Linked DNA regions of Rattus norvegicus. The protein of the gene in region 2 interacts with the protein of the main gene of each other region in a biochemical or structural test. Links are inferred from orthologs where the notes say so. Each region holds a gene or a part of one and is shown on either strand. Other genes may lie near its edges.

Region 1 (6,802 bases), on a different chromosome or scaffold from region 2:
GGAAAGAAACTTGGACTCTCCAACCCTGTGTGTCTGTGAGTATGTGTGTGTCTGTATGTGTGTGTCTGTGAGTATGTGTGTGTCTGTGAGTATGTGTGTGTCTGTGAGTATGTGTGTGTCTGTGAGTATGTGTGTGTATGTGAGTATGTGTGTGTATGTGAGTATGTGTGTATATATGGGGGGTGGTGTTCTGCTGGTTATAGAGTTCAAGTGGCTTTAAGTTTTTTGTCCTTGTGTTGATTCCTTTATTTTTCTTCATCTAGTAATGGTGTAGGCCCTTAAAAATAATTTCATTTTCCTGGGCCGTTTCTGTCTTTTGCTTCCTTTTCAACCATTTCCAGCACCCTACAAGAATCTTTCACATCATGGATACAGCATAAGGAGTTATTCACAGTTTTTTCTTCCAAAGTGGTTCACCCATGTTCCTATGTCTCTTATAAAACTGATCAGTATGTGACATTGCTTTGGGAAACCTTGTCTTGCTTTGAAAAGACCTCAAATATAACTTTGACCTATTTCTTTTCTTGACTATGGGATCCATAAATCTGGGTCTGGTTATTACCATTTGAATGTTTAGTGTCATTTCAAATGTACATGCTTTAAGAATGAATCTAACTTCTCCCCATCTGGCTTCTTATCTGTCTTCTGTATCAATTATTAGCTGCAGGGAACCACACCAATTTCTCAAAAAAACCTTTGAGTCTTTTCTGACACTTCTATTTCCCCACCACTGGAGAATGAGAGCAAAGAGCAAGGCCTTTAGTTTGGCCTCTACATTAAGAACTGTAGCCTTTCATTTCTCCACACCTCCACTACCATCACAAGGATCCTGCAGGGGGAGGGGCAACAGCTAGGATCCCTAACCTACTGCTCCTTTTTATTTCTTTCTCTTATGATTTGTTTCCTGTGTAAGAGCCAAAGAGTGATCCTTTAAAACATGTTAATACATTCACTGGCCTGTTAAATCCTTCTCAATGGTTCAGCGGTGCATTGAGAATAAACCAGAAACAAATTAGTACAGCTTTCAAGAACTGGTTTCTATCTGCCTGCCAGCCTCATTTCTTTCGTGCCTTCAGGACAGCAGGTGTAGTTGATCCTCTCTTGGGGTCTTTTCTCTTCATATGACTAGAAGGCCATTACCTAAGCTTGTCTTAAGACTAGTCCTTTCCATCAATCAGGCCTTGGCTCAAATGGAAACACCGTAGGAAAGATCTGTGTTCTTTACTGGCCACAGTACTTAGCCTCATGTTCTTGATCATGGTTACTGCTGTTTGTCAACCATACTGATAATTAGGGCAACACAGTGTTACACTGTTAATTAGGGCAATTGTTGCTATGAGAACTAACTTTATTTACTGTCTTACTTTTCTATTTTCAATGTAATCTGTTATGGCAAGAACATAGTCAAACTTCATAAGTGGATGGCTAGTGCCAGCAGACTCTGGGACAGCAGTCCTCCTTTCAGAGCTAGGATAGCTAGAAAACACAGATGTCTCCCACTCTGGCCACTCTTAGGTAAAACTAGGTGCTTTAAAGTACTCTGTAAACTTAGGAACAGCACCCTTATCCTGTCTACCCAAGCAGTACTTTGTACCACCAATCTAGAGAGTTTTCTAGAATAGTGAATGACTATATGTAGTTGTGAATTTTAAGATTCCATCACTGACATAAGACACAACCCTGTAGAAAACCACATTTCAATGAACCATTAGTCAAGACAAGACAAACAAACAAACCAGAACAAAATTAACACACTGCAAAGAAAACATGCAAAAATTGTTTTGTGCTTGTGCATGTAAGAGGAAACATTGGGGAAGCTGAAGTGAGAAGTAGGGCTGCCAAGATCTTCAGAATTCTCAGAAGGTTTCTGATGCTTTTCATTGCAGCTTGTTAAAGCAAATAGGGCTCCTGTACATCTACAAACTCAAAGAACCGACCCCGAAACAAAGACAGAAATATAATAAGGCCTAAGTTCTCCGAAGAACCTCTTTTTGCTCAGCCACCAGTATAATCAGATCAAAATTAGTGCTGTGGATGTGGGGCAGGAATCACTCCTAGAAAGTCAGGTTTAGATTGACAGTTTTGAAGAGGCTGAAACACAGAAGTTCCAAACACAAAACAAAGTAGAAAGCAAGAACCCTATTCAGACCTTGCTCTTGCCTGCCCTTAAGAAGGCGGTGGGTGGAGCAGGTGGGGTTGATGGAAAGGGTACAGACTATTACTAGAGAGACAAGGGTTTAAAGAAGTCAGCTGACTGGGCGCCTACCCTTTAACAAACTCGAGGGCTCCCAGAGGGAGTCCCCTGTTAAGTGGGCTCTGCCGGGCTGGCATTCCCGGGTCTACTCCTGTAGGATCCTTTGGAAGGGGTGGCCAGGACTGCCCTAAATGGGCGGGTCCGCGGCGCTAGTGTCCGCCGAGTGGGTTGGGGCGGCTGCTGCGCACAGGGGGCGGCTCCCCGCTGGGCTCCCGTTCCCCTCCTCGGCTCCGCGGCGCCGCCCTCGCCCCGCCCCGCCCCGCCGGCGCCGACCGCGCCGACCCGCCGCGGTCCCCGGAGCGGAGCGCGCGGCGGCGGCAGTAGCTGGGCGCCTCCCACGCGCTGCCGCGTGCCCGCCCGCTCGCCCGCCAGTCTGCCCGTCCACCGGCCCCGACTCCGCTCGGCCATCTTCGCCGCTCCCGCCCTCGCCAGCCCGGGCCGCGCGCCCTGTCCCCGCGCGCGGACTTTCCCGGAAAGTTTGGTGGTTGTTTTCGGCCGCCGCAGGCAGCGGCGCCGCGCCCCACCTCCGCCAAACTTTGGGGCTCACTCGCGCCATGAGCGCCCCTCCGCTACTACGGCCGCCTAGCCCGCTGCTGCCCGCCGCGGCCGCTGTGGCCGCCGCCGCTGCTGCGCTGGTCCCGGGCTCCGGGCCCGCGCCCTTCCCAGCGCCTGGGGCCGCCCCGGCGGGGGGCATCTCGTTCCATCTGCAGATCGGCCTGAGCCGCGAGCCGGTGCTGCTCCTTCAGGACTCCTCTGGCGACTACAGCCTGGCGCATGTCCGGGAGATGGCTTGCTCCATCGTGGACCAGAAGGTAAGGTGCCCCGGGTCCGCCAACTTTGCAGCCGGCCTCGCCCGCGCCGTACAGCCTGGTTGTGGCCGGGTTGCATGCTCTTACCCCAGGCACTGCTCTCCGGGCCGCGCAGTCCTCCCGGGACTGACCTCCAGCCCTTCTTCGCTGGCATGTCTGCCTTCTCACCTTTACCTCCCTTCCTCCGGTGACAGTTCAAGGAATCTTACACTTTTCTCCTTGCGCTCCAGCATATTTTTGAGATTTCCTGGCTGTCCCGACTCCTTTCTCTGGACCAGAGCCTACCTGGTGTCAGATCCACTTCCCAGCACCAGAGTTCCCTTGGGACAGCCCTTCGCTTTTTCAGCACCGCTCCCTTCCACTCCATCCTCTTTCAGCTCTAATTGATGCTGCGGAGTTCCGGGTGTGACCTGGACGCCAGGGATTTCTCACCTGCCAATAGTGCTTTTAAGAAAGGGTGATTGATTAAGCCAGCTGTGAAAACAACTGAGCAGTTGGTGCACACTACCCAAGTCCTCCCTGGATTTAGTACCACCTCTGTTGGAGCTAAGAGACATTTTCCAACAATAAAACCTGAAATTTACAGCATTTTGTGCTTAAATTTCCATCCACTGATCTTGGGAGACTGGAGTAGTGAGAGGGTCTGTAGTTCCAAGAACATCCAGTGCTGGCTTTGCCCTTAAGTTTGAGGCGATGCGATTCTGGATAGCGGTCATCAAAGACTGGTTGGAGAAAGGCTCATAAGGCTGGGCTTGGCCACCCACCATTGTTTCCAATGATGAATTCCACTTTTGAAGTTAGGTTATCTCCACAGCCATCCAGAAGGATGCTTCATGTAAGGTGGAGGACCCTTGCATGTGCCACTCCTTCCCAGTGTGGACAGCCAGGGCTCTGGGGGAGGAGAGAGAGATAGAGGAGAGGGTTAAAGGTGCTGAATTTCAACCTTGGAGGGCTGACTGGCTACTTCTCACCTTTTAATGAATAGTCACCATCTTAAACTGTTTGGAACAAAGTGTCCTACACTTTTTGAGCACAGAGTTCTAGGGAATTGCTCCTGGGAAGCACTCACTAACCAGGAAGTGAAAATTCTAGAGGCCAGACTCAAGTAACAGTGAGTGCCTTGAAGTTTGGTTAATTAAAGGGAGTGATTTTTTTCCTTATGTAATTGAACTCTTTGTAGCTCCCTTGAAGTACTGAATTCAGTCCTCCCTCTTCCTGGAGATGGTGAACATGCAAGCATTCTAGGCTCTGACGGCCTCACTATATAGCTTTCAAATGTTTCTGTTATGAAATGGATTGATTGATTATAAAGCACTGCCACACAGGCATACACAACACATGTAATAAAATCATTCACAAAGCCCATTCAGTTCCATAACAATTTAACAGGACGTTCTAAAGAAGATGGTATAGTGTTAGAATGTCCCAATGGGCTAGATTAATGAGGACAAACTTTGTTTTGACCTGCTTAAACTCTCTCTTTGTCTCTGCCTTCCTGCCCCCCCCCCCCACGGTGTGTCTGTGTGTCTGTCTGTCTTTCTGTCCTTGAAGTTGTGAATGGTGAAATACGATTCAAGAGGTTTGGGTTGGGCTTTTGAAGAAGAGTGAATTTCACTTGACTCAGGGGGCTGCTATCTGGGGAGTGTTATCAGCACCCAGGAGAAGTGTAAGCAAGAGGACATACAGGTGCAGCAGGCTGGAACTTCCTCAGTAGGAGATGTAGGGAAGGTTCACTTATGAGAAAAGTCTTGAGATGATTAGAAACTTACATTGTAAAAAACTCAGTAATCTTTTCAAAAGAGATAACCAGACCGGGCGTATCTGAGATCCACATTAGCTTTGTGGAGGGTGTTTTAGAATGGCAAAAATGTAATGGCAGAAAGAAAACTGGAGTACAGTCAAGTGCTGTTTATATCTGAGCCAAGACTTGGGGAGAGCTGGAGGAATGCTGGAAAGAGAAGGGCACCAGTCTTGCTGGCGCTTTCTAAGGGGAATCCTTTCTTTATTGTGTTTATTTTGTAGCTTTTCACCAAAAGAAAAGTTTGAAAACTTTTCCTGGGATAACCATAGCCTTTTTTTAAATGGGTCTGGCAAGGTTAGAAATTTTGAAATGTGAATTTTATAATACATGATATTATAAGTAAAAATACTAAGTTATGGGTCTAAACAGTGTGCCTCTTCAGTTATTCTCTCATCTATCGATGTAGATATCAATAACCTATTATCTGTATCTGTCTTCATCATCTATCATCTCTCCAGCTGTCTGTGTCAATCATGTAACTATCAATCACCTATCTGTTATCTCTCTACCTATGCACCATTTGTTTGTTATCTATGGATCTTCTGTATCGATTTTTGGCATATGTTATTTGCCAAGACAGAATTCTTGTGCTGTGACAGCAAGAGTGGGTAGCTTGCTAGTATAGAGGTAAGGAAGTGGGAGGGGGCTTTTGTCCTTTGTCTCATGGTTTCTCTTAAGCTTCAAGAAGATAACAACTGTGAGGAAGAATGATGGGGGTGGGTGGGAAAGAGAGAGAGAGAGAGAGAGAGACAGAGAGAGAGAGAGAGAGAGAGAGAGAGAGAGAGATCTATACATACAGGTTTTTAAGAAGAAGGTTCTCTTGATTTTTATAGTCCTTCTATTTATTGTTTCAGTATTAGGGGGCTTTTTATCTTGTCTGTGCTCAAGAGCCCCTAAAAACTAACATGGACGCTTAGCTCGTTGGAAGTATTCACTGACAATTCAGTTGACTTCAGCAGTTTTGTTCAGGAGACCTTCTCTGTGGGATGAGCAGCTGAGGTGGACAGGGCTAAGTAAGAGAGCTTCTGTGCCAGAGAAACTTTGCTTGAAGTTACTATTTAGTAGAACTTAACAATGTAGTTTTTTCCTTAATTTGCAGGTTTAGAAAATAGCAGATGTGTGCTCATACTTGATGAAATTAGATGGTAATTCAACAGAAGTACTTTTAAGGTATTATATCCTAACCATTTTGTGAGTTATAAGTTAGTAATACTTTTTTAATCTGATAGTTCAGTAATCTGGGATGATCTCTTTCTTTGCATGGAAGAGTGTATGAATACATAAGAGGTTATTAACTCTGCCCTTTTGGGAGATTGAGCTAAGGGCTAACTTACAATATTTATTTACTTTAACTTCACATGTGTGTATAGCATTGGATGTTGGTTATAGGTGAGGATGTGTTCTTTAATCAGTATGCGTGACTTCATTTTACTTTGAAATTCTTTAACTTTCTTCCATCGAAGGAATTTTGACTATGTAGGATGGGAAGGCATTATTGTGAAGCAATGGACAGTATCTCAGAGGATGATGCGGTTTTGATCTGTAGCAGGCTACCTGTCCACATTGGCTGCATGCACACACAGGTGCACAGGTGCACTTGAAATACAGAGGGCATCCAGTGAGTAACATGTGACTCAATTATCCAACTTCCCTGTTCATTTGAGTTTTTTCTTACTAAAAAAGACAACCAAGGCTTTCTCGTGAGCATGCTTACTTTGAGCAACACGGTCTGTGAGACACCTGACCTAAACTTTACTCTTAACACTGAAATTAAAGAGTGAGCGTTTGAGAGGGACATAGCCACCACAGTAGCAAGGTTGGTGCCTTGGTTTCATAGTTGCATTACTGTGCTTGCCATTGTTTTAGTTTCTTAATTGTATATTGTTTTCCTAACAGTTGCTGTGTCCCCTTTAACCCTTACAGTTAATTTTAGCCACT
Region 2 (6,638 bases):
GAATTGTGTGTTTGGATTTACCACCACAGGCTCTCCCAGACCCGTTGAGCATTGGAGCAGTGCTAATGAGTTAACAGCCAGGCTTCAATTAGTGGTTTCTGAAGTGTTCCTGGATATCAAATTGCTGTTGCTGCTTGATAATCACAGCAGCTCATGGGGATGAGAAGGGAGCAGGCAAAAATGATTCCCTCGTTGAATACAAACCTGTTGATAACCTCAGCTGTATCTGAGACACGATTCAGGTTTTCTGTCTCCCCGGAGCTGAGGTTTGGATCACAGATGTGCTATATAGTCATTTCTCTTGTGACTCCGCTCCATAGTATATATACTAGGAACTTCCCAGACTACCTCAATAATTAAGCCAGATTGATTATTTTGAAACAAATTAAAAATTAAATAAGGACTCACTACACTGGTCACTTCCTTGGTAGGAGCGAGAGGTGGGGGGATGGGGAGGGTGCCAAGTGGGAATTGGGAGAGGGTTGGGAGAAGAGTCACCCAGGTTCCAGATCCTCCTTTGACTCTTCCTAAATGCTTGGCTTCTAAATTGCAAAGTGTAGAATGCACTAATTCCCCCAGAAACTTGGAAAATCTTCAGTGTGCGGCTTAGGAAACAAAGATTAGCAACGGAAAAGGAATTCAAGATTTTTAAAACCATTATTTGAATACATTTATTGTGATACGAACTATTATAAATATGCACAAGCAAAGGTCATCTTTTTCTAGGAGTCGTCAGAATCCAAGTTGGAAGGAGACACCTTTTGTAAAACCTTCCATGGGTCCCTGCTTTGAGATAAACATCTAATTGCTGAAGTCTTTATTATTATTATAAACGATCACAGCGCATGCTACTTGATATGGCTCTCAACTCAAGCGTCTGCTTTCCCAGTGGGCTGTCCCTCTCCCCTTGCAACACCCTCTTCTTCCAGCCTTAAGAAACACTGCACCATCTTCTGGTCAACAGTCTGGACTTGTGGGTTGCTGGGGAGAGAGAGAGTATGAGCCAATGATAGCATGCAGGGTGTCTATTCCTACAACCAGACGGGAGGGACTACAGGCTCTCACCCCAGCATACAGACACTCAGCTGTCATTTCACCTAGCTCTCATTATCTATCGATAATGCAGCAGAGAGGTTGGGGGCTACTTCTCAATGGTTTATTGTGTTTTCTTAAATATCCTTTCTGAAAATTTTCAGAAACAAAACATAAAAAAATTATATACTTTATTACAAATGGTAAACTCAGAATGCTTCAAATCTCTTATTTACAAACACTGGGTAGGACACCCAAACAAACAAACATGGAATAACTTACAAAGGCAGGAAGCTGTTTATTATAGACAGTAATCAGCTTTCATCAAATTAAAAAAAAATATATGTACATACATAGTTGAGAGAGGCAGGCCAGGGGAGTTCATCCGCAATCTAGCCTGGTACTCACAAGCCTCCCTCCCCTTCCCAGCCCTCCCTGCTTTGTGTTCTTACGGAGCACTACAGAAGCAATCTACAGTCTCTATTGCAGTTTGTAAGCCCCCACCCACCCCCCTTAATACTGAATGAGATCGAATGTTAGGTCCATGCAGTTCTTGGTCAATGTTAACGAAAAGTCCATCGTTCTGGTCGCGCGGGCACAGCCCGTTCGCAAAGCGTGGCGGCCAACAGGCCGCTGCTCTCTGGCTCCTCGCCAAAGCCAGGCGCGCCACGTCCTTCCCACTCCAGCACACTGGGGGCGCCGTCAGGTCGCAACCCAGTCCATCTTGTGTACCCTTGGCTTCAGTACTCGGACACTTTTTTTTCTCTGTCGCAACCAGTCAAGTTCTCAAGTTTATCTCTGTTATTTTTTTCTTCCACTGCCCCTCAGCCCTGACAGTCTGTCCTCAAAACGTTTGCAACTGCTGCGTTAGCATGAGTTGGCACCCACTGTTAACGTGGTTCATGACTTTCTGTTTAAGCTGTGCCACCTGTTCCCTGAGCATGTTGGCCGTGGACGCCAGCTCGGAGTTTTGCGCTTTCAAGGTTTTCACTTTTTCCTCTAGCCGGGCGATCCGCTCCAGCTTCCTTTTCCGGCACTTGGAGGCAGCGATGCGGTTCCTCATGCGCTTCCTCTCCGCCTTGATCCGCTCCTGAGACTCCATGTCGATGGGGGACAAGGGCGGCGTCTCTCCCGGCATCTCCGGCACCGTCTGCGGCTCTTCCTTCAGCGCCTGCAGCCGCGGGTGCTGCACCGGGATCTGTTGGGGCAAGTGGTGCGGCGGCTGAGGCGGCTGCTGCTGCTGCTGGGGCTGCGATGGAAAGGCCAGCCCGGTCGCGCCATAGGAGGGCGCCCCACCGCCGCTGCTCAGCGCACCCGGGTTGAAGTTGCTGAGGTTGGCGTAGACCGGAGGCTCACTGTGCAGGCTGGCGCTGTAGCCGCCGCCGCCGCCAGCGCCAGCTACTGAGGCCACAGCGGGAGCGACCATGCCCGCCCCACTGACAGGTTGTGCCGCGGAGGTGACACTGGGCAGCGTATTCTGGCTATGCAGTTCAGCTAGGGCGCGCACGAAGCCTTCGGCGAAGCCCTCCTGCTCGTCGGTCACGTTCTTGGGGCACAAGAACTGAGTGGGGGTCGGTGTAGTGGTGATGTGCCCATTGCTGGACTGGATGATCAGGCGCTCCAGCTCCGGCGACGCCAGCTTGAGCAGCCCGACGTCGGGCGACGTGAGAAGGTCCGAGTTCTTGGCTCGGAGGTGCGGCTTCAGATTGCCCACCGGGTCGGCCAGGTTCAAGGTCATGCTCTGCTTCAGAATCTTAGGGTTACTGTAGCCGTAGGCGCCACTCTCGGACTGGAGGAACGAGGCGTTGAGGGCATCGTCGTAGAAGGTCGTTTCCATCTTTGCAGTCATAGAACAGTCGGTCACTTCACGCGGGGTTAGCCTGGGCTGTGCGCAGAAGTTTCGGGGCCGCAACAGCGCGCCGGGAAGCGGGGGATACCCGCGCGTCCCCGCTTCAGTAACAAAGTTTGTTTAGGAGCGTGCGCTCCAGACCGCAGTGCTCCCCCCTGCGCCCTCCTCCCCAGTTCGCTCCAGGGAGCGCAGGGTTAAGACACCGCTTGCACTCACGTTGGTTGGCTCCCGCGCGATCCGGAGCTTTGAAAAGTCGCGGTCACTCACGGAGCGCTCTCGGGAAGCAGCGGTTCCTCGGAGCCCGCGGACCAGCCCCAGCGACAGAGGTTCTCCGGCGGCGCAGACCAGTCGTCACGGAATTCTTGGTGGAAGCCCGCGATCGGGCTCTGCCGCCCGGCCTCCGACAACTGTCCCCTCCTCCGCTGTGAGGGGGAGGGGGACGCTAGGCAGCCGCGGCTAGCACTCGCCCAACTTCAGCCGCCTGTGCGAGCTGGTATGAGTATAGGTTCCTCTTCTCCCTTTTCTTTACGGTCTCGGTGGCAGCCTTAGGCGCAGAAGAGGTTTTGCAAAAGTTCGCTCCGGGCCACTTGTTCCCGGTCCTCTGGGTCAGGAAAGTTGCTGGCCGGTAGCCGCTCGCCTATTTCCTCGCGCGGTCCGGAGCCGTTCTCGATGCTGTCAGCAGTGCCGGGACTTGTGAGCTTCTTCTCCGGGAAAAGCGGGAGAAGGGACTCTCCAAGTGCTCCCCAAAACACCGGTGCAGGAGCTGCGGGCGCTGGATCCAGGCAGTTGGTCAGAAAATGAAGACAAACAGATGAACAGCCCGGAGTCCGCGGACGACCAGGTTAGCCGAGTCCGTCCGTCTGTCTGTCTGCCTGAGCGCTCTCCAGCTAGGCAGTCTCTGCCACACTCAGTGCAACTCTGAGTCCTTATCCAGCCTGAGCTCAACACTTATCTGCTACCAGTCAATCCCTAAAAATAGCCCATGATGTCACCCCAAGGCCTTCCCATTGGCTTGCGTCGCTCTCAAGGGGGCGGGCCCACCCGTCGCCATGGAGACCTCACCCTAGAAGATTCTTCTCTGGGCCCGCGAAGGCTCACGGGATGAGGTAATGCTCCGCTGCGCTCCTACAGTTGGGCCCTTCTTTCTCCACCTCCCTCCCCCTCCCGCGCGTTGCTCCGGCTTGTGTTCCCGGGTTCCCTCCCCGGCGCGTCTTTCCCGGCCCGCCCGGTGCATTGTGGGCTGACGTCTTGGTTTGGCTGTCTAGTGACGGAGGCTGCCGGGTCCGCTGGACCCTTGCGGAGTCTGTCGGAGGCGGGCTCAAGTTCAGGGCTGGGGACCCAGACCGAGACGCGGGGATCCAGAAAGCTGGGGAGACGCGCTGGTGGCCTGGGGCGGAGGGCTTGGGTGGGAGTAGAGGTTACACACACACACACACACACACACACACACACACACACACACACACACACACACACGAACACACGAACACACCCGTGAAAGGGCTGAATGATCTGGGCGATTGAAGCTGGCTCCGCACCCCCGCACTTCCGGGAGACAGAGCGACGCGGGTTAATATGGTTGTGTTCGCCCCGGGTGCGGGAGCGGCAAGTGGGTTGAAGTTGAGCGGGTTTGAGAGTGGCCCTCCCACGCCGAGTGCGCATGGAAGTTTAGTTTCGGAGAAGGATCTGCGCCGCAGTGTGCTGTGCTGGAAACCAGAGATTTGCTGTGCTCGGAATGAATTCACCAGGGTCCCCGGCACAACACTTCATTTTCTGGGGACGTGCCGGGAGGGGTTCGCTTTACCTCGGAGGGACCCCCTTCTAGGTGTGAAAGATGCCACCCCGGCTCCTTGGGGTATGGAAAGCAACATATAAAGGTTCGAAACTCAGGAAACCCCAGCGCTCGCCTGCACTAGCACATACACACAGCCCCGCGCACACTCAGTTCGCGCCCGCCCTTCCTCCCTCCCTGATTTGCTTCTGGGAAAACAAGCCTTGAGAGCTGCGGACTCGCCCCGAGTCACGGTGCTTAAGCAGGAGTCCCTGGTAGAAAGACTGAAAAATCCCCTCCCCGCTCGATGGTGGATTCATATCCTGTGCGGCCTCTAGGAAGCGCTAGACACATGTAAGTTGTTTCTTTTCTAAGGTTCTGCTATCCGCCCTCCACCCTCTACCCCTTAAGACTGACTAAAGAGGTGGCGAGCTTGGTTCTCCCAGGGCAAAAGTGCAAATCTCAGAACTTTCTGAACTTTATTGGTCTCATCTAGAAGTAGAGTGGATGAGGTCCATCCACTACATCGGGCTGCTAGGCATTAGTCTTGACTCTGAGACTAGAAGGTGGTCAATTGGTGCCCCTTTCCCTACCAGCTTCGGAGTTACCCCAGGCCTTCGGTGGGGTGGGGTGAGGGTGGGACGATTTGGAGGATACTGGGTTGTGATTTGGCAGGAGCCAGTGTATTTTCCTAAGCGAGGTAGGAAAGGACCGGGAACCAGCTGTTCCCTAAGCCGCCCTTCAGCCTAGGACTTGAGGTTTAAAGTTGGACTTTAAGTTCCTAGGTTCTAATTTGGACTTTGCTGCCTCAGAACTCAGCTCAGGGTTTGTACCCTTGTGCCTTAAGATATTTTGCCTTTTGAGTATTCAGAACCCAATAGCAGCTGGTATCGGTGGGAAACCTGCCAGCTCTTTTTCACTCCCGGCTGCAGAGGGTAACTGGCTGCTGCCAGCCAAGCGCTGACCTTGGTGGGGGCAGGGTAGAGCAGGGTTTCTGTGAAGTCGAGATACATTTACTTCCCCCTAAGGGAGACCGAGTTACTCTGTGCGCGGCCCTCATCCTTTTTTGCCAAGGAGCTCATATTCTACATGATTTATGATAACAGTAATAAAAGTAAGTTTTGTCTATTAAACACTAATCTGCTAGTTAGTCCAAGCAGTTTTAAGTATGCTGTTTTCTTCCCACAGCTATCTTGGGAGGCATACATTTTTACCTAGACTTTTCGTGGAAGGAAATGGTCCCAGAAAGTTCATGCGTCTTGCTTGGGGTATACAGACAGCTGGAAAGTGAGCTCAGGTCTGTGTTACATTCCTTTGTATTTTCTGGCTCTGGCAAACTTTCCCTTAAAGTCATAGTTATTTGTTTGGAGAGTGGTACTGATGGCATAGAAGTTGTTCCCTTGTTCCTGTATTTAGAAACTCCCAGACCTAGGACCTTGTGTAATTATGTATCTTTTGCCCAAGGGGGTTCTGTGCATCTTCTGCCTCCTGTGGTTTTAAGAGGCTGATTTTCCACTTAGGTTAAGAAATAGCAGTTTCATCAAGGCAAAACAGATCCCTGCTCTTGTTAATGCTGTGCTGCTTGGAAGCCATCATCAACTTCCTCTTTGCCTGGGAGAAGGGTTTTTTCACAGTCCAGCTTCTGCTCTTTTTAGCCATATCTTGCTGAAAGCTCGGTTGGTAAGGGTTGGGCCATGCTACCCTAAAGAACCGAGCATCAGAGGCTGAAGTCAATCAATGATTGTTTTTTGATTCCTCCAATTACTTGTGGTTGCTTTCAGTGCCCCTCCGGGTTTGCCCTCAGTCTTCCAAGGACTTCACAAAAGCCCTGTTTGGGCTTTAATAAGTGTAAGGGGACTATTGTTTAAGTCTTGATGATGGTCTTTTGTAATGCAGGTTGATTGTAATCCCCACACAGTATAGTTTCTTGTATGATGCCAGGTATACCAAGTACCAGTAGCCATAGCAACTGCTCTTTCTGGTCCC
Region 3 (5,292 bases), on a different chromosome or scaffold from region 2:
CCTTTCCCACCCAGTCTCTGCCTGGGGCTTTGTATCTCAGGCTTCTGCTAACCTCAGGTCCTTCTGTTGACCCATCTTCATTGCGCCCAGCTAAGAGGCTGTGTTTTCTACTTCATTTGTCAGAAAGCATGCTTTTGGCTGCTCATCTTTGCACGGAGAAGGTAGAGACAGGAGGGTCCTTGCGTTCACAGCTCTGAAAGCATGTATCTTAGAAGGGTCCTTACGTGGACTCCACGCACGCATGACCACAGCTCTGTCCATCCTGCCTTGTATCAAGACCCATCGCTGTAAATAGGCTCCCTACAGCTGTGCTGTACACGGGGCTCCTTTTCACTCCTAAATTTGAGCCTGTTTTGCACAGTGTGTTCTTTGCACAGTGATTACAGTTTAGGGATGGGTTTCAAAGGACATAACATTTCCATTTTTGTTGTGTTCGTTATCTCACACTTCTGAACTCCACTCTTTAAAATGGAGAGTGGCTCTTATGTCTAGGGAATGACGTAAAGGTGCCTGGTTGGGAATCTGGAGGTACCTGCATGACTGTCTCACTCTGCTTTTCAGAAGAGGATAGTGTTTGTGGCACTGCGACAGTTTCTTAGGCACTGCTGTTACTGCTGTAGGAACATCTTTAACAATCTGTGAGTCACCAGCTGTGAGCATGCGTCTGAAACTGACTTCCCTTAATGTGGAGCATAAGGAAACAGCCATGGCTTTCTGAGTCCCAAAGTCACTTTAAAACTCTTCCTTTGTCTAAAGATAATTTGTGCTGAGATTTTTCTTCACTCGAATAGGTAGTAGGAACCTGCAGTGTAATGTAATGACAGAGGTCATAGAGAGGGAACGTTCTGGATTGTTATGAGTTCATACCCCTGGAGGTGCATGGCGGATCCTGCATGTGCCCCGTTACCTGCTGCCCAGGATCCTGCTGCCCAGGATCTTGCTGTATGTGTGGACAGGTGCTTGTTTCTTGCAGTACAGTGCTCCCTAAACTGGACCATGGAGCCTTGAGGTGGAACCAAGGCCCATAAGCCAGTGACCAGTTGAGCTTCAAGTCTTCCTCACTTCTCATTCCAGGCAGAGTACCTGGAATTTGCATTTAAAGGCATTAGCGTTTCTTGGGAAAGGATTTCTGTTTAAGAAAAAAGGAGAAAGCAGCGGTTTCCTCTGCCCTGTGCATTCATTGTCTAACTTTCGTTCTGTTCCTCTCTGCAGGGTTGTGAGCGGTTCTCGAGATGCCACTCTCAGGGTTTGGGATATTGAGACCGGCCAGTGTTTACACGTCTTGATGGGCCATGTGGCAGCAGTCCGCTGTGTTCAGTATGATGGCAGGAGGGTTGTTAGTGGAGCATATGATTTTATGGTGAAGGTGTGGGATCCAGAGACCGAGACCTGTCTACACACGTTACAGGGACACACTAATAGAGTCTATTCGTTACAGGTAAGAGACCGTGTTTCTCCCACCCATAGATTGTCTGCCGATGACTCAGAAGATTGTTCTCCTCAGAGAGTTACTGTCCAGTTGCTGCTTATATGTACTTTAAAATTAGCATGAAGTGGGTTGGGGATTTAGGTCAGCGGTAGAGCACTTGCCTAGCAAGCGCAAGGCCCTGGGTTCAGTCCCTAGCTCCGAAAAAAAGAAAAAAAAATTAGCATGAAGAAGCACAGATTCCAAAATCATGTAACTCATTTAACGATTTCAATTTCTGTGATCCATTCTTTCTTTAAAATACAGATATTGTCTTAGAACCTGATACTTCAGGATTGTACATTTTGCTACGAGTCCTTTAGCCGAGGATTAATTTGACCAAAAGCTGCCCCTTTGTCTTGATAGCTAAAAGTTGATGGAGCATGTGATTGCGACCCCATTGCCATTTGAAGTAGCCGTGGAACCTTTCTGCAGAAAGTCCTGTACTTGCCCAAGGCCACTGACTGGAAGCCACAGAGAGACGAATTTGACTGACCTGTTGTTTTCCTTTAGATTTGAACTTGATATTTATTAATAGATTGTAATATTTCAAGATCTTCAGAAACTAGACATAAAACGCGGTTACTTTTATTTCTGGAAATGCAGCATTTTCCATCCTAAAGTACTTCCTGTTACATAATTTCCTTCCCCGTTACTACTGCCGGTTAGTGATGAGCAAAGCAGAACAGAATCCTGGTGCTGATGTCGCTGTTCTTAGGGCATCTGATTCTTAATTGATGATACTGCCCAAGCAATGAAGTATTGATCTATGATAAGGATGTTGATTACTCCAGAAGAGATGATGGCTTCCAAGGGGAGGGATTGGTTGCTAATGTTGCTGCTTGTGATGTGCTCAGGACCACAGAGAATGATCTCAGAATAGATAGCTGCATGTTATATATACCTTCTGGGGGATTGGTGGGTGCTTATTGGCTTTTAGTATCCTTGGGAAGCTGAAGAAGAGACTACTTAGCTTGCTTTTGTTACTAAAATGCCACCTCTTCTAATTCCTGATACAGTTTTCTTTTGGGATATATGCTAATTAGCATTAAGTTTTTGTAAACAACTTCATTTTACAAAGGCTTTTTGGTGGAATTTACTGTTGAATATCATGAAAGTCATCTGTGGCCACTCCCTTGCCTTGGGTGCTGATAAGCATGTCTTATCTTGAGCTCTGTCTTCGGCTTCCTGTAGGCAAGTCAGACTCTGCATTCTTACGAAATACATGGATGGGATGTAGCTTCATGCTGGGACCAGGTGATCTGAAAGTAATGACGGTTATATCGGGTCCTTTGTAGTATTTTGGACACATGACCCACAGACTCACATGGACATCACATGCACATCAGCTTACCTGCAAGTTCACCCCAGGATGCTCTTTGTTCTGGCCAGCATGCTGCCTGTACCCCACCCCCATTGTGAGTAAGGTTAGCAGCTGCGAGGACAGGGACCTGTGTTTCTGTTCTAATACTCTCCTCGGTGTCTATTGTAGTTTGACGGCATCCATGTGGTGAGTGGATCTCTTGATACATCAATCCGAGTCTGGGATGTGGAGACAGGGAATTGCATTCACACGCTAACAGGACACCAGTCGTTAACAAGTGGAATGGAACTCAAAGACAATATTCTGGTCTCTGGGAATGCAGATTCTACAGTTAAAATCTGGGATATCAAAACAGGACAGTGTTTACAGACATTGCAAGGTAAGTCTGGCCCTCCGTCAGCCATGTTCTGTGGAAGTGTCACTGCTATCCAAGAGAGAGCCTGTGTGGAACAGAGATTTAACCTTATATAGAACACCTGCTCCTGATGAGTTTCTGAATGTTTGGCTTTCAAAAGTAGGCCACCTTGAGAAATGTCTTTCAATTGTGTCTTTACTGTGAAAACTCTTTTTTTTGGGGGGGGGGGGTTCTTTTTTTTGGAGCTGGGGACCGAACCCAGGGCCTTGTGCTTCCTAGGTAAGCGCTCTACCACTGAGCTAAATCCCCAGCCCCTACTGTGAAAACTCTTAATCATTTGCTACGTGTTCTGTTGACTCTATTTAACTTAACAATGAGAAGAAAGACTTGGCTGTCTCACAGAGCAATGCTTTTTTTGAGTGAACATTTTATTTTGAACTGAAGCATCTCTGATAGGAAGTTACTCTGACCTCTGCTTAGTCAGTTCCTTCAGCTGGAATGGAAGGGTAATGGTGCTCTCTGAAGTAAAGATTCGAGTGAGAAGTATTAGCATCATTAGGTATAGCCGTTGGGCTCTTCATGAGTAACTTTCTCCCCTTAGTCAGGCCCTTAGAAGGTTGTTGCTTGTTTGTTGTTTGTTGTTTGTTTGGGGCGAAGCCATCAGGAGGCAGCACAGGGAAGCCCTTGTTCTATAATTGTGACTGTTCCTAAGAGTTTGGGCTGGTCACAGGTTCACCTCCTTCTTTGGTCAGTTGAGAATGGTTGAGTGACAGACCTGCATGTTCCTTTATCCAGCAGTGGAGCACGTGCGCTGGCTGACCAGGGCTACTGGGAGCCAGAGCTCTTGAGACTTGGTATGTAGTTACAAATGGCTGCCAGGTTTTCTTACATCCAAGCTGGTCCTAAACTGGTCGTAAGTGCACAGCTTTTCAAATGTTGCGTTTCTTGTATGTTCTAATGTAGAGAGCACGAGTCCCACGCAAAAGCCCCTGAGCCTCGCTCCGAAGCAGTAACCACCCTTTGCCTTTGCCTAGGTCCCAGCAAGCATCAGAGCGCTGTGACCTGCTTACAGTTCAACAAGAACTTTGTAATTACCAGCTCAGACGATGGAACGGTAAAACTCTGGGACTTGAAAACGGGTGAATTTATCCGAAACCTAGTCACATTGGAGAGTGGGGGGAGCGGGGGAGTCGTGTGGCGGATCAGGGCCTCAAACACGAAGCTGGTGTGTGCAGTTGGGAGTCGGAATGGGACTGAGGAGACCAAGCTGCTGGTGCTGGACTTTGATGTGGACATGAAATGAAAAGCAGACAAGATGAATTTTGTCCGACTGTGTAGACAATATACTCCCTGCCCTTCCCCCTCGCAACAAACAAACAAACAAACAAAAAATGAAAAAAAAAACAGAAAAAAAAAAGAAAAAAGAAAAGAAAAAAAAATCCCTTGTACTCAGTGGTGCAGGATGTTGGCTTGGGACAACAGACTGAAAAGACCTACAGACTAAGGAGGTAAGAAGAAGACAAGAGACCGTAACTGACCGGAGGCGGCAGCTGTCGCATCACCCAAAGGCCTCACTTCTGACTGAGGGGCAGCTTGGCGAAAGGAGACTCTAAACCCAACCAGGTGCAATTGTTCTTTATTTTCTTCTCCAGTGGTCACTGGGCAGAGCTTCATCAGCGTTGTTACCTTCACCAAGGAGCAGTGGTGGTGATCTCCAAACACGGGCTGGTTATCTTCCAATCAGAGCATCTGCAACAAAAAGTCATTTTTCTGAAGTGGAAAAGCTTAAATTACTGTGAATTGTTTGTGTACAGTTACCATGAAGCATTCTTTTTCTTTCCTTTTTTTTTTTCTTTTTTTTCTTTTTCCTTTTTCTTTTTTTTCTTTTTTCTTTTTCTTTTTCTTTTTTTTTTTTTTTTTTTTTTGCCAACCATTGCCAATGTCAATCAATCACAGTATTAGCCTCTGTTAATCTATTTACTGTTGCTTCTATATACACTCTTCAATGCATATGTTGCTCAAAGATGGCAAGTTGTCCTGGGTTCTGTGAGTCCTGAGGTGGATTTAGTTCTTGATGCTGGTGCTAGAAGTAGGTCTTCAAATACGGGATCGTTGTCCCACCCCTGTACTGTACTCCCAGTGGCCAAA
Region 4 (6,115 bases), on a different chromosome or scaffold from region 2:
TTTCATAGCTTGCATTGTCTCGTGTACCTGTTTGCAGCTTCACTGTCACTTTCCACAGATACTGTCCCAGTCATCCTAAGTGTAACACGCACCCTGATAGCTAGGTAAGGAGGCTGCTCTGAGGAGGACTGACTCCAGCACCTTGACTGGGTAGTACACGCTGACAGTGAACCCCAGGTCATATACTTCTAAAGGAAGAAAGAACACATTACTAGATGCTGAAGGGATGGGCTGGTGCCAAGAGAAACAGAATGGCCTCTGAAAGCATCATTGTCAAAGGCAGTTTCAGGAGGGAGTGTGGTCTGTGGGATAGGCCAGAACCCAGGCCCCTCCCCTCCCCTCCCCTCTCCAGACTTCCCTTGGTCAGCCTGTCTCACAGGTTCGATGCCCAGCTGGGAGAGAAGTCAGATTGATCTCGAAAGTTCTTCTCTCATTTAGAGACCTGTACATCTAAGGTAGCTTTAGTATGAACATTGATTTCAGTTTGTTTATGTGATATTTATTTATTTTGTGTTTAATCATTTATCTCATAGGTTGAATCATTTTTGTCATAATTTTATTTTGAATTATAATAGGAAAACAGATTATGTTGATTTAATGAACCATGACCATACTTTTTAAAGATGCAGAGTATAAGAGCTTTTATTAAGTGATTTAGAAACCCAAACCTTATTTAAGTATTGTCTCAAAATGTTTTTGCTGATCCTCTAGGGTAGCCTAGTTACTTTCTTGTTCATAGGCATAAACAGTTTTTCTTTGCATGAGAGTATTGTATGTATTACGACTCTGAAGCGCATTGTAGCTGTGTTTTCCTCAAGAGAATCCTTAGATATTGATCAATGGAATAAAGTTATTGAACAGCTAGGAACACCATCCGCAGAGTTCATGAAGAAACTTCAGCCAACTGTAAGGAATTATGTGGAAAACAGACCAAAGTACCCTGGAATCAAATTTGAAGAGCTCTTTCCAGATTGGATATTTCCGTCAGAATCCGAACGAGACAAAATAAAAAGTAAGGCATTCTTGTATCCTGCACTTGTTTCTCTAACACCTGAACCCTAAAGCCCATGTATGTTAAGAGGTGAAGTGCTAGAAACCCTGAAATAGAGGCTCTTACAGTCTGATGTTCAAAGGCACCACAGGAGGAAAACTTTAAAGGCCGAGAGTCTTGACCTTGCTACAACAGTGCAGCCAAAGATTCAGATCAGTCTGCAAACCCTTAGGTTATAGGGTGGGAAAGTGCCTCGGGCAGACACACTTGCCCTATAAGGGTGAGAACTTGAGTTTTCATCACCAGCATCACTCAGAAGGCACAAGCATGGCTGCCTGTGCCCGTAACCCACCCTCTGGGGCTGAGACCAGTGGATCCTGGAAGCTTGCTGACCAGCCAGTAGGGGAACTGGGAGCTTCCAGTTCAGTGAGGAACTCTGTCATAAAGGAATGAGGAGGAGAACAAGACCACCAACTCCCCCTCTAGCCTCAGAGTACATCTTACCCACACTCAAACATTCATATGCATATACCACACATGTTCATGCACGCACACACACACACACACACACACACACACACACACACAAGACCCATATTGTAATGTCACCAATCCTAATTCAAAACCATTTCAAATATAAAGAACATTTCAGTAAGGATTCTAGACAGAAACTATTAAGTGTGGTCCAGTGGAAAAGGCCCTCGTTGCCCTTCTGTGTCCTTCCTAGAATGTGGACACCTGAGGAAAAACAATAGCTTTGCTGTCCTCTATGCCAGGGTGAGCGGCACCTTGGTCACAAAAGCCCCGACTTTTCCTTGGCTGTATATGTTGTGAATTTTTCATTGCTGGGACCTTACTGAGCATTCTGAATTAAAGTTAATTAGCTTCTTGGTTTTTTTTCTTACTAACCTCTAGATTAAAAACAAAAACACTGTATACAGCTAGGCAAAGCAGTGGTGCCTGTGAAACTATACTCTGGGACTGTGTGTGTTACTCTGAAGGTTTTAAACTTGTTCTAATGTGACCCAAAGAACAATGCTCCTGCTACATGATGTCCACACTCCTGGCAGCACAGTCTTCAGAGAGGTGCTTGCTGCCCGCTGTGCTGTGGCTTCATAGCTTCAGGTCATCTGGGTACTGGTCTGAGGCTACCTAGTACCCTCACCTCACATGCTAAAAGCCTGGTTTTAATAGTGGCCATTGGGCTTTTAAAGGTGTAAGCTGTGTTGGTCTTGAACCTCTTACACATCTTCTGAAGTCAGCATGTCTCTTTGCCCTCCATACTTTCTGTTTGATTCTTTATTATGTGGTTCCTCTTTTCCACGGTAGCAATGTAATTGCATCATTTGTTTACATCCTAGCAAGTCAAGCCAGAGATCTGTTATCGAAAATGTTAGTGATTGATCCGGACAAGCGGATCTCTGTGGACGAAGCCTTGCGCCACCCGTATATTACTGTTTGGTATGACCCCGCTGAAGCAGAAGCGGTAAGTTCTCTTTGGAAAATGTCCGTGTAGAGGGCTCACTGTACAATCCAGGACCCACTGTCTTTGGGTCCTCTTTCCGCTGGCCCAGAATGGCTACATGAGCACAGCAGGTTGTTAGTTTTAGGGTCCTGACTTAAGCAGTAGAACAAGTGCTGTCTAAGGCCTAGGTCAGTAACCCTGGTGGCACTTGCCGCTGGGGCTGTAGCTACAGAATGCTCAGGAGTGTACTGTGGTGTATGCTGACCTTATATTGATAAGGCTGATGTGTAATAATAATTTATGAGGCACCTGCTTCATGCCTGGCACTGGGCTATGAGCTTTGTTTACATCTTATTCAGTCCCTCAAGTCAGAGAGCCTAAGCAGCCTTCCCAAGAGACACATCAGCTCACATCTCCCCGCCGCATCTGGGCTTGTTTCTTCATAGCATCCCTCGTGTGATGATCCTTAGCTATGAGGGAAATACACCGTGGGGAGTTTACTTCATGGCAGTGGTGGAACACTGTTGTGTCCTGGGTTTAGATTTAACTGCCATTGTAACATTATGTTATATCAAAAGAATCAGATTTATGAACAGCCAAGTTATGGACTGTTCCATTCATGAGCTTGTGGCCTGTGCATGGGTGTTCTGTCATGAAGAATGTGAACTGGAAGTATTTTCTAAGAACATACCACACCTCACTCAGCTCCCACACAGCTGACCCTCTGAGCTGCCTATTGTTACTAATTTTGTAACTTCACTTGTGCAATGTCTGCAGAACATTTTGAGGTCATGTGATTATTGAGATTTATTACTGATAGCTTGCTTTTGGTTAACTTTCTGTAATTGTCTTTTAAACTGATAAAATATATCATGCTTACAAGAAAAATCTAGAACATGTTAATTAAAATAAATCCATGAGTAGACTCGGAACATTCTAAGTAGTGTTATCTTCCCAGCATGGCCCATAAGTTTTGAGCTATCGACCTGACATATCATTTCAGCCACCACCTCAAATTTATGATGCCCAGTTGGAAGAAAGAGAGCATGCGATTGAAGAGTGGAAAGGTAAGAGTGGCTTGTTTAGATCCTTTCTTATGACGATCCCATAGTCGTACAGAGCACACTCCCATAGTCCACCACAACATGTTCCCATAACCCTCCAGAACACATTTTTTACTACTTATTCATACTAGCCTCTTTGGAAGGACCTTGAAAGCCAGAAGCCGCAGTGTCCTCTCTTTCCACTTCCCAGCTGAGAACGACTGTGACACTAGCATGTTAGAGTAGACTATGTATGGCATCATAATTTCCTTCAGGTGAAGCAAAGGACTTCTGTGTGACTTCCATCATCACACACTGATGTGTGGCCTGGTCACACCCCTAAGTGTTCACACTTCTTGATAGCGTGGACGTTTGGAGCAAACCCAGTATACAGGCCACATATTCCTTACACAGATCCCGTCTAAGCAGGTATGGGGGAGCCCAGATATGGCACATGTAATTGAATGTGTATATTAAACCATGTAGTTACGTATTTTAAAATCTAGTCTGGAGGAAATTGCCAAAAATAAGCAGGAAGGTATTACTAGCACTTCAAGATGAACCCCAGTCACAGTGAGTGAACTAAGATGGTCAACAAGAAGCAGACCCTGGAAGCTTCCATTATGATGCGGAAGCAGGTTACAGTAACTAAGGGCCATAGTCAGTGCAGGTCAGCACTGATCAGACTTTCCAGATTGACATGCCAGTGGCCCACTCATGCACAGTCACCATGGCAACACGCACAGTAGTATATGCTTGCAGTATGCTGCTAATGTGAGCCCCTAGTAACATGTGGTAGCCAAAGGAAGTTGAGACATCCCAGGGCCTGGGGTGGCTCTTGGGATCTGGAGGCAGAGTTCGGTGCAGGGGAAATGACCTAAGCATCTCGACTTCTGTTTCTCTTTGAAGAACTAATTTACAAAGAAGTGATGGACTGGGAAGAAAGAAGCAAGAATGGGGTGAAAGACCAGCCTTCAGGTTGGTGATTGCTTTAATTTTGTTGTCTCATATTTCTTTACCTACTCAATGTTTATAAATGACAGTGATATATTAATGTCACTTGGCTATCTTTGTATGACATTGTTACCTTCCTGCTTGCCCTGATGCTGGTGCAGTGGCTTTGCACTCATGTTTTTTGCGGTGCCAGCCCTAAGCTGCATTTGAAGCGTCCCTGTTGTAACCTTGCTGTAGTCGTCGCCAGCTCTGTTTAGAGAGGAAGGGGTTTGGATTTGAAACGTGTTTGAAACGTGTTGCCCTCTTTGCTTGGATCCATCCAGTTTATAAAAAAGGATGTCAGTGCAGACCTAAGATTCACGTGCTTTAGTTTTCTCAGCCACAGTAACACATGGGTAGTAGGAGGTAGGAGGGCTTTATTTACCTCCGAAATTAAAATAATGATTTCTTGACTCACTAGACAAAAATAAAATCTAAAGCAGGCGCTAAAGTTATCTTTTGGGGTGTATTTTTTTTTTCGGAGCTGGGGACCGAACCCAGGGCCTTGCGCTCGCTAGGCAAGCGCTCTACCACTGAGCTAAATCCCCAACCCCTGGGGTGTATATTTTAGAAAGTGTTTTTATCACAAAAGATTCATTTGAATCCTGATGGTTTTTCCTACAGATGAGGTTTGTCTATTGTGGATGAAATGTTCATCACACTTGAATCCTTCTCAGGCCTAAGCCTCTTGTGGTAGTTGTAGGGAGAATTCATCCATTTTCTCTTAAGGTCTATTTGAAGTTAGCAGGTATATCTTTTAAGTCATCAACATGGTCATATGTGACCACATACACATTGCCCGTGGTGCGGGCAGAACAGGGGACTATTGTAGGGAAAGCCCAAGACTGATTTCGAAACTGAACTAACAAAGGACTCCAGGAAAAATCCCAGAAGCTTAAAGTGTAGTTGAGCAGTCTTGGTTCTGTGGGTCATTAGGATCCGGAAACTACCAAGCACAGAATGGAGAAGTAGCCTGAAGCCCCACGCCTGGCGTGCAGGATGCCGTGCCTCAGATTTTACTCCGTTTGGTTTTCTTAGCACAGATGCAGCAGTAAGCAGCAAGGCTACTCCTTCTCAGTCGTCATCCATCAATGACATCTCATCCATGTCCACTGAGCACACCCTGGCCTCAGACACAGACAGCAGTCTCGATGCCTCAACCGGACCCCTGGAAGGCTGCCGATGAAACCTCGCAGATGGCGCACTTGTCTGTGAAGGACTCTGGCTTCCATGGCCCTGAGCACATGGGAGCTGGTGGAACCAAATCAAGAAGCTCCATGTTCTGCATGTAAGAAACACGACGCCTTGCCCCCACTCAGTTCCAGTAGGATTGCCTGCGTAGACTGTAACATGAGGCAGACGATGTCTGGAGAAAAAGTACAAACCACACTGTTAGAAATTTTGTTCAAGATCATTTCAGGTGAGCAATTAGAATAGCCGAGTTTCTTTTTCCAGTCGTGTGGTGTCCTTGGTGACAGATCATGTGTAACTGTGGGGACTCGTATGCATGTGACCACAAATGCTTGCTTGAACTTGCCCATGTAGCACTTTGGGAATCAGTATTTAAATGCCAAATAATCTTCCAGGTAGTTCTGCTTCTAGAATAATCTCTTAATCCTCTTT
Region 5 (6,720 bases), on a different chromosome or scaffold from region 2:
CGGCTGGTAATGAGTTCCCTAATTCCCCAAGAGTGGTGAGCAGCTTGGGAAATAATACAAGAAATGCCTTGAAATGCCTAGACCAGGAACTACACTGGGTCTCCCAGGAACTCCCACGGAAGGATGGCTGCTCTCCCTCGGAGACTCCCTGGGGTCTGCTCACCTTCTATGATGTTAGGAGCCCTTCCTCAGGATTGCTTTTCCCTGGAGATTAATGCCCCCGGTGGAGGCAGAAATTCCAGGGTAGTGATTGCAGAGTCAAAAGAACTGGAGAAATGTATATTCAATGCTCTCCCAGACGGGAGCAAGGACTGAATGTCTCTTAACCTTGTGGCTGAGGGATGCTGTTTCTTTGACTTCTGAAGTCAGGGGCTCAGCGTCCTCCCATACACACACTCTCCTTCCCCATTTTACTGGAAAACAGATCAGAGCTGCCACTGGCCTGGCCGTCCAATCTGTAGGACTGAATAGTTCATCTATACTTAACTGGTTTGAGCCATAGCAGTTGAGCATGTCCCTTTTAGCCACCCAGTTACGTTTATTAATGAGCCCTTTGAGGTTAAAGTCTGCTGTTTCGGACTTCCCCCAACAACATTCTTAGTGTAAATTCAGGAAGAAACCGAGGAATGTCGGTGGTGGTGGTGTGGAATGTTTTTGTGAAAAGCTGGGGGGGGGGGGTGGGGCTCACTTGGGGACACAATTGCATTGTAAAAGCCATTAAGAAAACTTTTCCCATCATCGTGGGGCATACTCTGCAAGATCTGGGCTCTTGTCCTTCCTGGTTTGTCTTGCACAGAGTTCTCCAGAGAGTCAGACTAGAAGTCAGGCTGTGTCCCTCCAGGGAAAGAAAGTTTAAAACTTCAGCTTGATTCCAGAAGCTGAGGCCCCAGAGAAGGGAGTGTTTGGGGGTTTGGGAATGAGCTGACTTAACTTTCTGCACTGATGATAAAACTCTCTTCCAGATTTGCTTCCAGATTCCACTTCTGTTTCATCACTACCAATCAGAAATTATGTCACATACGGTTGGCAATTTCGTCATTTTCAAGAAAATGAAACTTCCCTTATTTAGCTGGAAATTCGGCTCCTAGATTTTTATCTCCAAGTAGCTTATGATGGCTCTGAATTTTCACTTTTGATTTCCACTTCCTTCCACCCAGCTGTCTGCAAACCGTCCTGTAGTACTGGGGAATCAGTAGCTGCCTTCCTAACTCCACATCCTGTTCTTTTTCCTGTTTGAAGGCTGGAGGCAGAGGCTGCTTCAGGGTGGGATGAGACAGTATTCTCCAGTTCTATCTCTGGTCCCCACTAGTTGAGCATCCATTTACGAGCTGGATGCTTTCTGACCTTAGTTCCTATCTGAAAATTGTGATCAAGGTTGCCAATTCCCTCCCAGGGTTGTGTGTGTGTGTGGGGGGGGGACAACACATCACATGCACAAACATTAGAAAATCAGTATTCACATGTCCATTCTGACTCCACCTCCCCCCAGCCCCTCAGGGAACCTGATTAAGTTCAGTTCGGTTTAATTCTATTGATCAGGAATTGACTGGAACTATCAAGAATTTCAAGCTGGTGGTTGACCCCTGAGTTCCCAAGACACAGGGCGAATTACACCCCATTTGCTGACATCAGCACTCCTCCACTATAGTTGGATTGACAGAGACTGAGAGTTCTCACATAGAAAACCATTTCTCTCCTGAAGTTTCTGTGGCTTCCTGACTATGTCCCTCCTCCTGTGATGGGGAACCCCCGGTTGCCAGTTCCTTAAGGAATCACAGACTCCTGGAACATAGAATTATCTGGATCAAATCCCCATTTTGTCATTGAGTAAACTGAGGTCCTGGAAGGGGTAGCACTTGTCTAAACTCACAGAGATGGGTGTGGTCCGGTCCAGCCAAGCTGCTCACACCCACCCCTTGCTCGATTTGCACTACCACAAGGACCCAGCAGTTCAACAGATCAACCAAGTAAGCAATCATGGACAGAGCTGCCAGCCAGGTAGGCAACTATGGGCTGAAGAGTCCTGCACCCCCCCCCCAACCCCGTCATAGAAGAGGCTCTGACAGAATGGCTACAAGAAACGGGTGTGCCTGAGAAGGGATTTAGATAGCCACAGATGCTGGGCGATGTCTTCTTCACTCTGGACACCTGGTCAGCAGCCTCTGAACCCTCCAGATAGAAGCAACAGTAACCCCCACCCCAGCCTCAGCCCCACCCCCAAGCAAGAGCCTGTGTGTGGTAACACTATCCCATAGTAAACGCAACATGCAAAACATGTGCTCTCTTCTTCTCAGCACTTGGGGACTGGAGCTGGAAGATCTCCGTAAGCTCAAAGTAAGACCAGGTTACACGGGGAGACCTTGTCTCAAAAAAGTGGAACCAGGGGAGGGGAGAATAAACGTTTTAAATTATTGGACTTGGCAACTCCTTTAGTTTATAAGAAAGCTGGTGTGATGAAATCAAAGAAAATAAAATGGCTAGGAGGAAAACACAGAAATGGGAGTTGGGAATGAGAATGGGGTGGGAGCAGGGAAGCAACCCAATGGGAGAGAGTTAGGAGACAGAGATGCAGGAGAAGCCCCCATTCCTGCCCTGTCTCAGAGACCCGTTAGGAGAGCTGGGTGGGGAGCCCCCTCACTCAGCATTCCCCCCACCCCGACTCCTTTTATTTCAATTATTTCACTCGAGAAACAAATCTGTCAAAACCTGGCTATCTGAACCACGCAGCGCAGGCTCCCACACAGGCAGAGAGGTGTCAGGCATAGTGGCCTGTAATTTCAGCACTTGGGATGCTGAGGCAGGAGGATTGCCCGGAGTTTACGAGCAGTCTGGATTACAGAGTGAGACCCTGTCACAAGACAACTCCTCCCGGACCCCTCCCTCCAACAAGTACAAGTGGTCCCACACCCTGGTCCCTCCACCCGCTTGATCCGATTTCTTCGGCTCACTTCGAATACACCAAGAAATCCAAGGACCAGTTAAAAGTCAGCCAGAGCACAGCAATTCACAACAGCGAATGAGGCTGGAAGTGACGTCTCAAGCCCAGCCGACCGAAGTTAGCGGGTGCGGAGACCTCTCTGCCTTCAGCCCCGGGACAGCGCCACACCAGCGCTCGCCGCCTCCAAACTTATCCCGACTCACTTTCGCTCCCAGCCCTCTACGAGATCCTGCGGCCCGGAGCTCTGCTCCGCGGAGCGCAAGGCGACCTCCTGCGGCTGTGCGGACCTCCGACCGAGTGTTCCTTCTCCATTCATTTAGCTCCGTACCCGGAGCAGCGCTTCCACAAGCCAGGGCCACCACACCTCTCCGCGGACTCAGGAGGGACCCACTCCTACTCCAGAGCCCAGACACAAAGTGATGGACGGAGGAGAGGACCGCGACCCCCAGAGTGTGGGTCACCCCCGCGCACCAGCACCCACCACCCACCCAGAGGACCTCTCCTAGTTGCGAGCTGAGAGCGCGCGATCTCCTCCCAGGGCATCTTTCACGCCTCAAGTCAAAAGAGAAAGTTCGTTCTTTCACTTTACCAGAAACTTTTCCCCAGCCGGGAGCGGCGGCGGAGAAGAACAGCTCAGCCGAGCGACTGTGGTGCGGAAACTAGGGCTCGGGTCCCCAGTGGCACAAGGGTCCGGGGGATGGTCACCAGAGGGGAACTTAGGGTGGGGAGGGCAGCGCTCCTCGGCGTGGTTCTAATGCTCACCTCCAGTCTTCGCTCGGGGCGGCCAGGGTCCAGAGAGCGGCTAGAGGCGGGCTGTCTGTCCCGCCGGCAGGCGAGCGCCAAGGACTCTGCCGGAGCGCGGGTTGGTCGGTCGGCTCCGCCGGGGAAGCACCGTGCACCGCGCGTCTCGCTGAGTGAGACTGTGACTGGGAGCGCGTTGCATCACCCCTTTTAAAGCCCTCGCGCTGGCAGGGAGCCCGCTTAACTCCTGGTTACCAATCCCAGGCTGACGTAATGCTATTAATAGCTTCCAGGGAGAACTGGCCAGAGGAGGGGTGAAGGAGGGACGAGGGCGGGGCAAAAGGTGGGTGGAGACCGCGGACTTGGTGATGCAAGTGCGAGAAGGGGCGGTCACAGCGCGTCCTACGCGCCTCGCACGCCCGGGACACACACACCCGCCCGCCCTCTATCTCCATATCAGGCCGGGAGCCGCCCGGGCGCACCGCCAGATGTGCGTATTCGCCGCTGCGTGTTCCAGGCATGAGCCAATGGTGCCCAAGCCAGCGGCATGACTCCACCGCCCTGGCATCTCTCCCTCCGCTAGGTTGGGATGGGGGTGGGGGAGGGGTGCTGGGAGGCGGGTCCTGGCAGTGGCCCAGACTAGGTGAGGCTGGGAAGCGGGCACGACCTTTCTCTAAAATGCGTGGTCATTTTTCTAAAACTTCAGGAAAAGGCGCCTTCTCTGGCCAGCGGCCTAGCCTAAGGAGGAGGCGGGGAAGGGGTAGCGGAGACGATATCCCGCGTGAAGGAGGTACCCAAAGTTACACTCCGGTGAATCCACACGGTTACCGGCCCCTGTGACCTCCGCTGCCGCGGGCCCCCGCTCACAGCTGTGGGTTAACGTAGACATTCGGCGGCTTCGTGCTCCCACGCCCTGGCCGTGCACACGCAGGGGCCCCAGAACCCGCCAGGAACCCAAGGTGTCAGTGACCGGTCGCTGTCAGCTCATTTTTGTTTTTAATAACAACCACAAAACGTTTTTAAATGAACAGGGAATTCTCCGCGAAAGCAAGAGCTTAGAAAGGGGAAAGATTTGGAGAGATCAGAGGCCACCTAGCGCAGGGATAAGAAGGGGCTGGAAAAAGGCGGCTCGGCCAGTCCGGGAAAGAGGACGCTTTGATCTCTACGCGCCCAGCCTGGGCGGGGGTGGGGGTCCGCCTGGACGTCGGGAAATACTTAGAGAAAAACCGTCTCCAGGTTTCGAGTGTCTGTATGCAGGAACAGAGGGCTGTGCTAGGGACCCGGTGGCGGGGACTGAGCACGCACCGCTTAAAGCCGGAACACCGGGCCCTCTGTTCCCTAATCTGGTGGCTGGGAAGGCTGGGCGCGTACGGCTCGATTTCAGGCCAAGACCTCAGCAGACCTGGGTTTGAACCTCGAAAATAGTTTCCCGATTCTGATCCAGTGATTCCGACGGTCTGGGCTGAGCGCAAGACCCCGGACTGGTCCCCATAGCTCATCAAGGGTTAGACCTGCACACGGCTGCGGCCCAGTAGTCGCGCACCTGCCTGGGAGGCGTTCGTAGGCGCACACCGGGCTGGACGCCGAGGTGTAAAGGCAGAGGCACCTGCTAACACCTGCCTTTGAGAGGAAGGCGATCAGAAGGTCACAGGGTGGTAGTTTAGGGTGAGACGCAGAATTGTTCCGTGCTGCTGCCCCATAGCACCTGCCACCCGGACGGTTACGGAAAAGGTCGCACACGGTATTACGCCGTACCCAGAGACAGACACTTCGGGCAAAATCAAGTTCTCTGCACCCGGGTTCCTTCAGTCCAAGGCCGACTCTCGACCTTCACAGGCCCCTGCCCTCCATCCAGGGCCCCGGAATCTCTCTGTCCTTGTCCTCGCTGGAAGCCTGGGGTGGTTCCATCCCCGGGATTCCCTTTGATCCTGCCAGGATCTGACGGGATTGCAGCAGCGTCGCGCGGGAAGCGCCAGGCAAATGTTTTGCTTTGGTTTTTGCCTTGGTAACGCTCTCGGGGCCCCACCCTCCATCTCCCACGCCCACACCCTGCTCCACACCTCCACCGCCCGCCCTCCAGCCGACCTGCCCTAAGGTAAACCCGGGGCGTGTCGGCACAACCCCGAAGAATGCCAGGTGCCTAGAAATGAAAGTTGTTTGGGATCTCCTCGTACCTGCCCCATCTCTTTAACAGGCTGCCCTGGAGTAAATAAATAAACACCACTATCCAGTGTAACAGGGAGATGGGGGGGGGCACACGAACCCTGCCCCCAAGCCTCTGGGAACCTCTACAGAAATCCTTATTGTCTTACGGATTAAACCGGAGTTCTGCTAATACTCGAGCCAGATTTATGGAAGTGGGTCCTGTCTTCAAGTGGACAGCCTTGAGAACCCAAGCAGCAAGGCCAGCAGTTCCCTCAGAACCGTGAAGAGTAACGTGGACAGAAGTCCGCAGAGCTTTGTGGGCATCTGGTCATGACCGTGGTGCCCTCCCCCACGCCCGTCTCCCTGCTGTTCTAATCTTTAGCTTTCAGTCACCACGTCGCACCTAGATAGAAACTCTTAGTTGTTTACAGAGCTCCGAGTCCGACATCATCCCCTCCCTCTTACTGAAACCCTAAAAGCGATAAGATTCTCCAGGGAGAAGTCTGCCCACCCCCACCCCCTATAGGTTGGATGAACCGCCTATCCTAGGCAAACAAAAGTCACTTTCTGCCGGACTCAGTCCCCTAGGCTCCCAAGAGAATCATAAAGCGCCTGAGGAAAAAACGGGAAGGAAGAGCCCCAAGGTCTGGACCAAAGGAAGTTGTCAACATCTGAGTCTCCTCGCCTCCCACTTTACCCTGACTTAATGCCCCCAGTGTGCAGCGTGCGCAGTCGCCCATACGCACGGGTAGCGCCACGCAGAGGGGCAAGAAACATTCCCAGCGCCCAAATCGCTGCCCGACACAAAGGCAAAAGAACGCCTGTCCAGCCGGAGCAGGAAGCCCCTGGCTAACGGGATTTCAGGGGTTAATCCCCAGTCAAAGAGGGTTAAGCAG

The links.
Region 1: of the proteins of Jun (region 2) and Prkd1, one has a biochemical effect on the other in vitro, tested with the Homo sapiens proteins (2 studies listed by BioGRID). The link is inferred for Rattus norvegicus from reciprocal best matches to the Homo sapiens genes JUN and PRKD1.
Region 3: the proteins of Jun (region 2) and Fbxw7 form a complex in vitro, tested with the Homo sapiens proteins (3 studies listed by BioGRID, with this or other methods). The link is inferred for Rattus norvegicus from reciprocal best matches to the Homo sapiens genes JUN and FBXW7.
Region 4: of the proteins of Jun (region 2) and Mapk9, one has a biochemical effect on the other in vitro, tested with the Homo sapiens proteins (17 studies listed by BioGRID and IntAct, with this or other methods). The link is inferred for Rattus norvegicus from reciprocal best matches to the Homo sapiens genes JUN and MAPK9.
Region 5: the proteins of Jun (region 2) and Atf3 form a complex in vitro, tested with the Homo sapiens proteins (2 studies listed by BioGRID and IntAct, with this or other methods). The link is inferred for Rattus norvegicus from reciprocal best matches to the Homo sapiens genes JUN and ATF3.

What each region holds. Positions count from the first base shown.
Region 1 is NC_086024.1:73,770,132-73,776,933, reverse strand, and holds the start of Prkd1 (serine/threonine-protein kinase D1), read left to right. Parts: upstream 1-2,527; 5' UTR 2,528-2,808; coding exon 2,809-3,066; intron 3,067-6,802.
Region 2 is NC_086023.1:115,009,255-115,015,892, forward strand, and holds Jun (transcription factor Jun), read right to left. Parts: upstream 3,740-6,638; 5' UTR 2,882-3,739; coding exon 1,877-2,881; 3' UTR 646-1,876; downstream 1-645. UniProt on the Homo sapiens protein: Transcription factor that recognizes and binds to the AP-1 consensus motif 5'-TGA[GC]TCA-3'.
Region 3 is NC_086020.1:172,603,444-172,608,735, forward strand, and holds part of Fbxw7 (F-box/WD repeat-containing protein 7), read left to right. Parts: intron 1-1,212; coding exon 1,213-1,438; intron 1,439-2,957; coding exon 2,958-3,168; intron 3,169-4,178; coding exon 4,179-4,447; 3' UTR 4,448-5,292. UniProt on the Homo sapiens protein: Substrate recognition component of a SCF (SKP1-CUL1-F-box protein) E3 ubiquitin-protein ligase complex which mediates the ubiquitination and subsequent proteasomal degradation of target proteins.
Region 4 is NC_086028.1:34,703,439-34,709,553, forward strand, and holds part of Mapk9 (mitogen-activated protein kinase 9), read left to right. Parts: intron 1-829; coding exon 830-1,012; intron 1,013-2,352; coding exon 2,353-2,477; intron 2,478-3,459; coding exon 3,460-3,523; intron 3,524-4,408; coding exon 4,409-4,477; intron 4,478-4,849; exon of another isoform or gene 4,850-5,530; coding exon of another isoform or gene 5,531-5,535; coding exon 5,536-5,678; 3' UTR 5,679-6,115. UniProt on the Homo sapiens protein: Serine/threonine-protein kinase involved in various processes such as cell proliferation, differentiation, migration, transformation and programmed cell death.
Region 5 is NC_086031.1:105,291,892-105,298,611, forward strand, and holds the start of Atf3 (cyclic AMP-dependent transcription factor ATF-3), read right to left. Parts: upstream 3,854-6,720; 5' UTR 3,701-3,853; intron 1-3,700.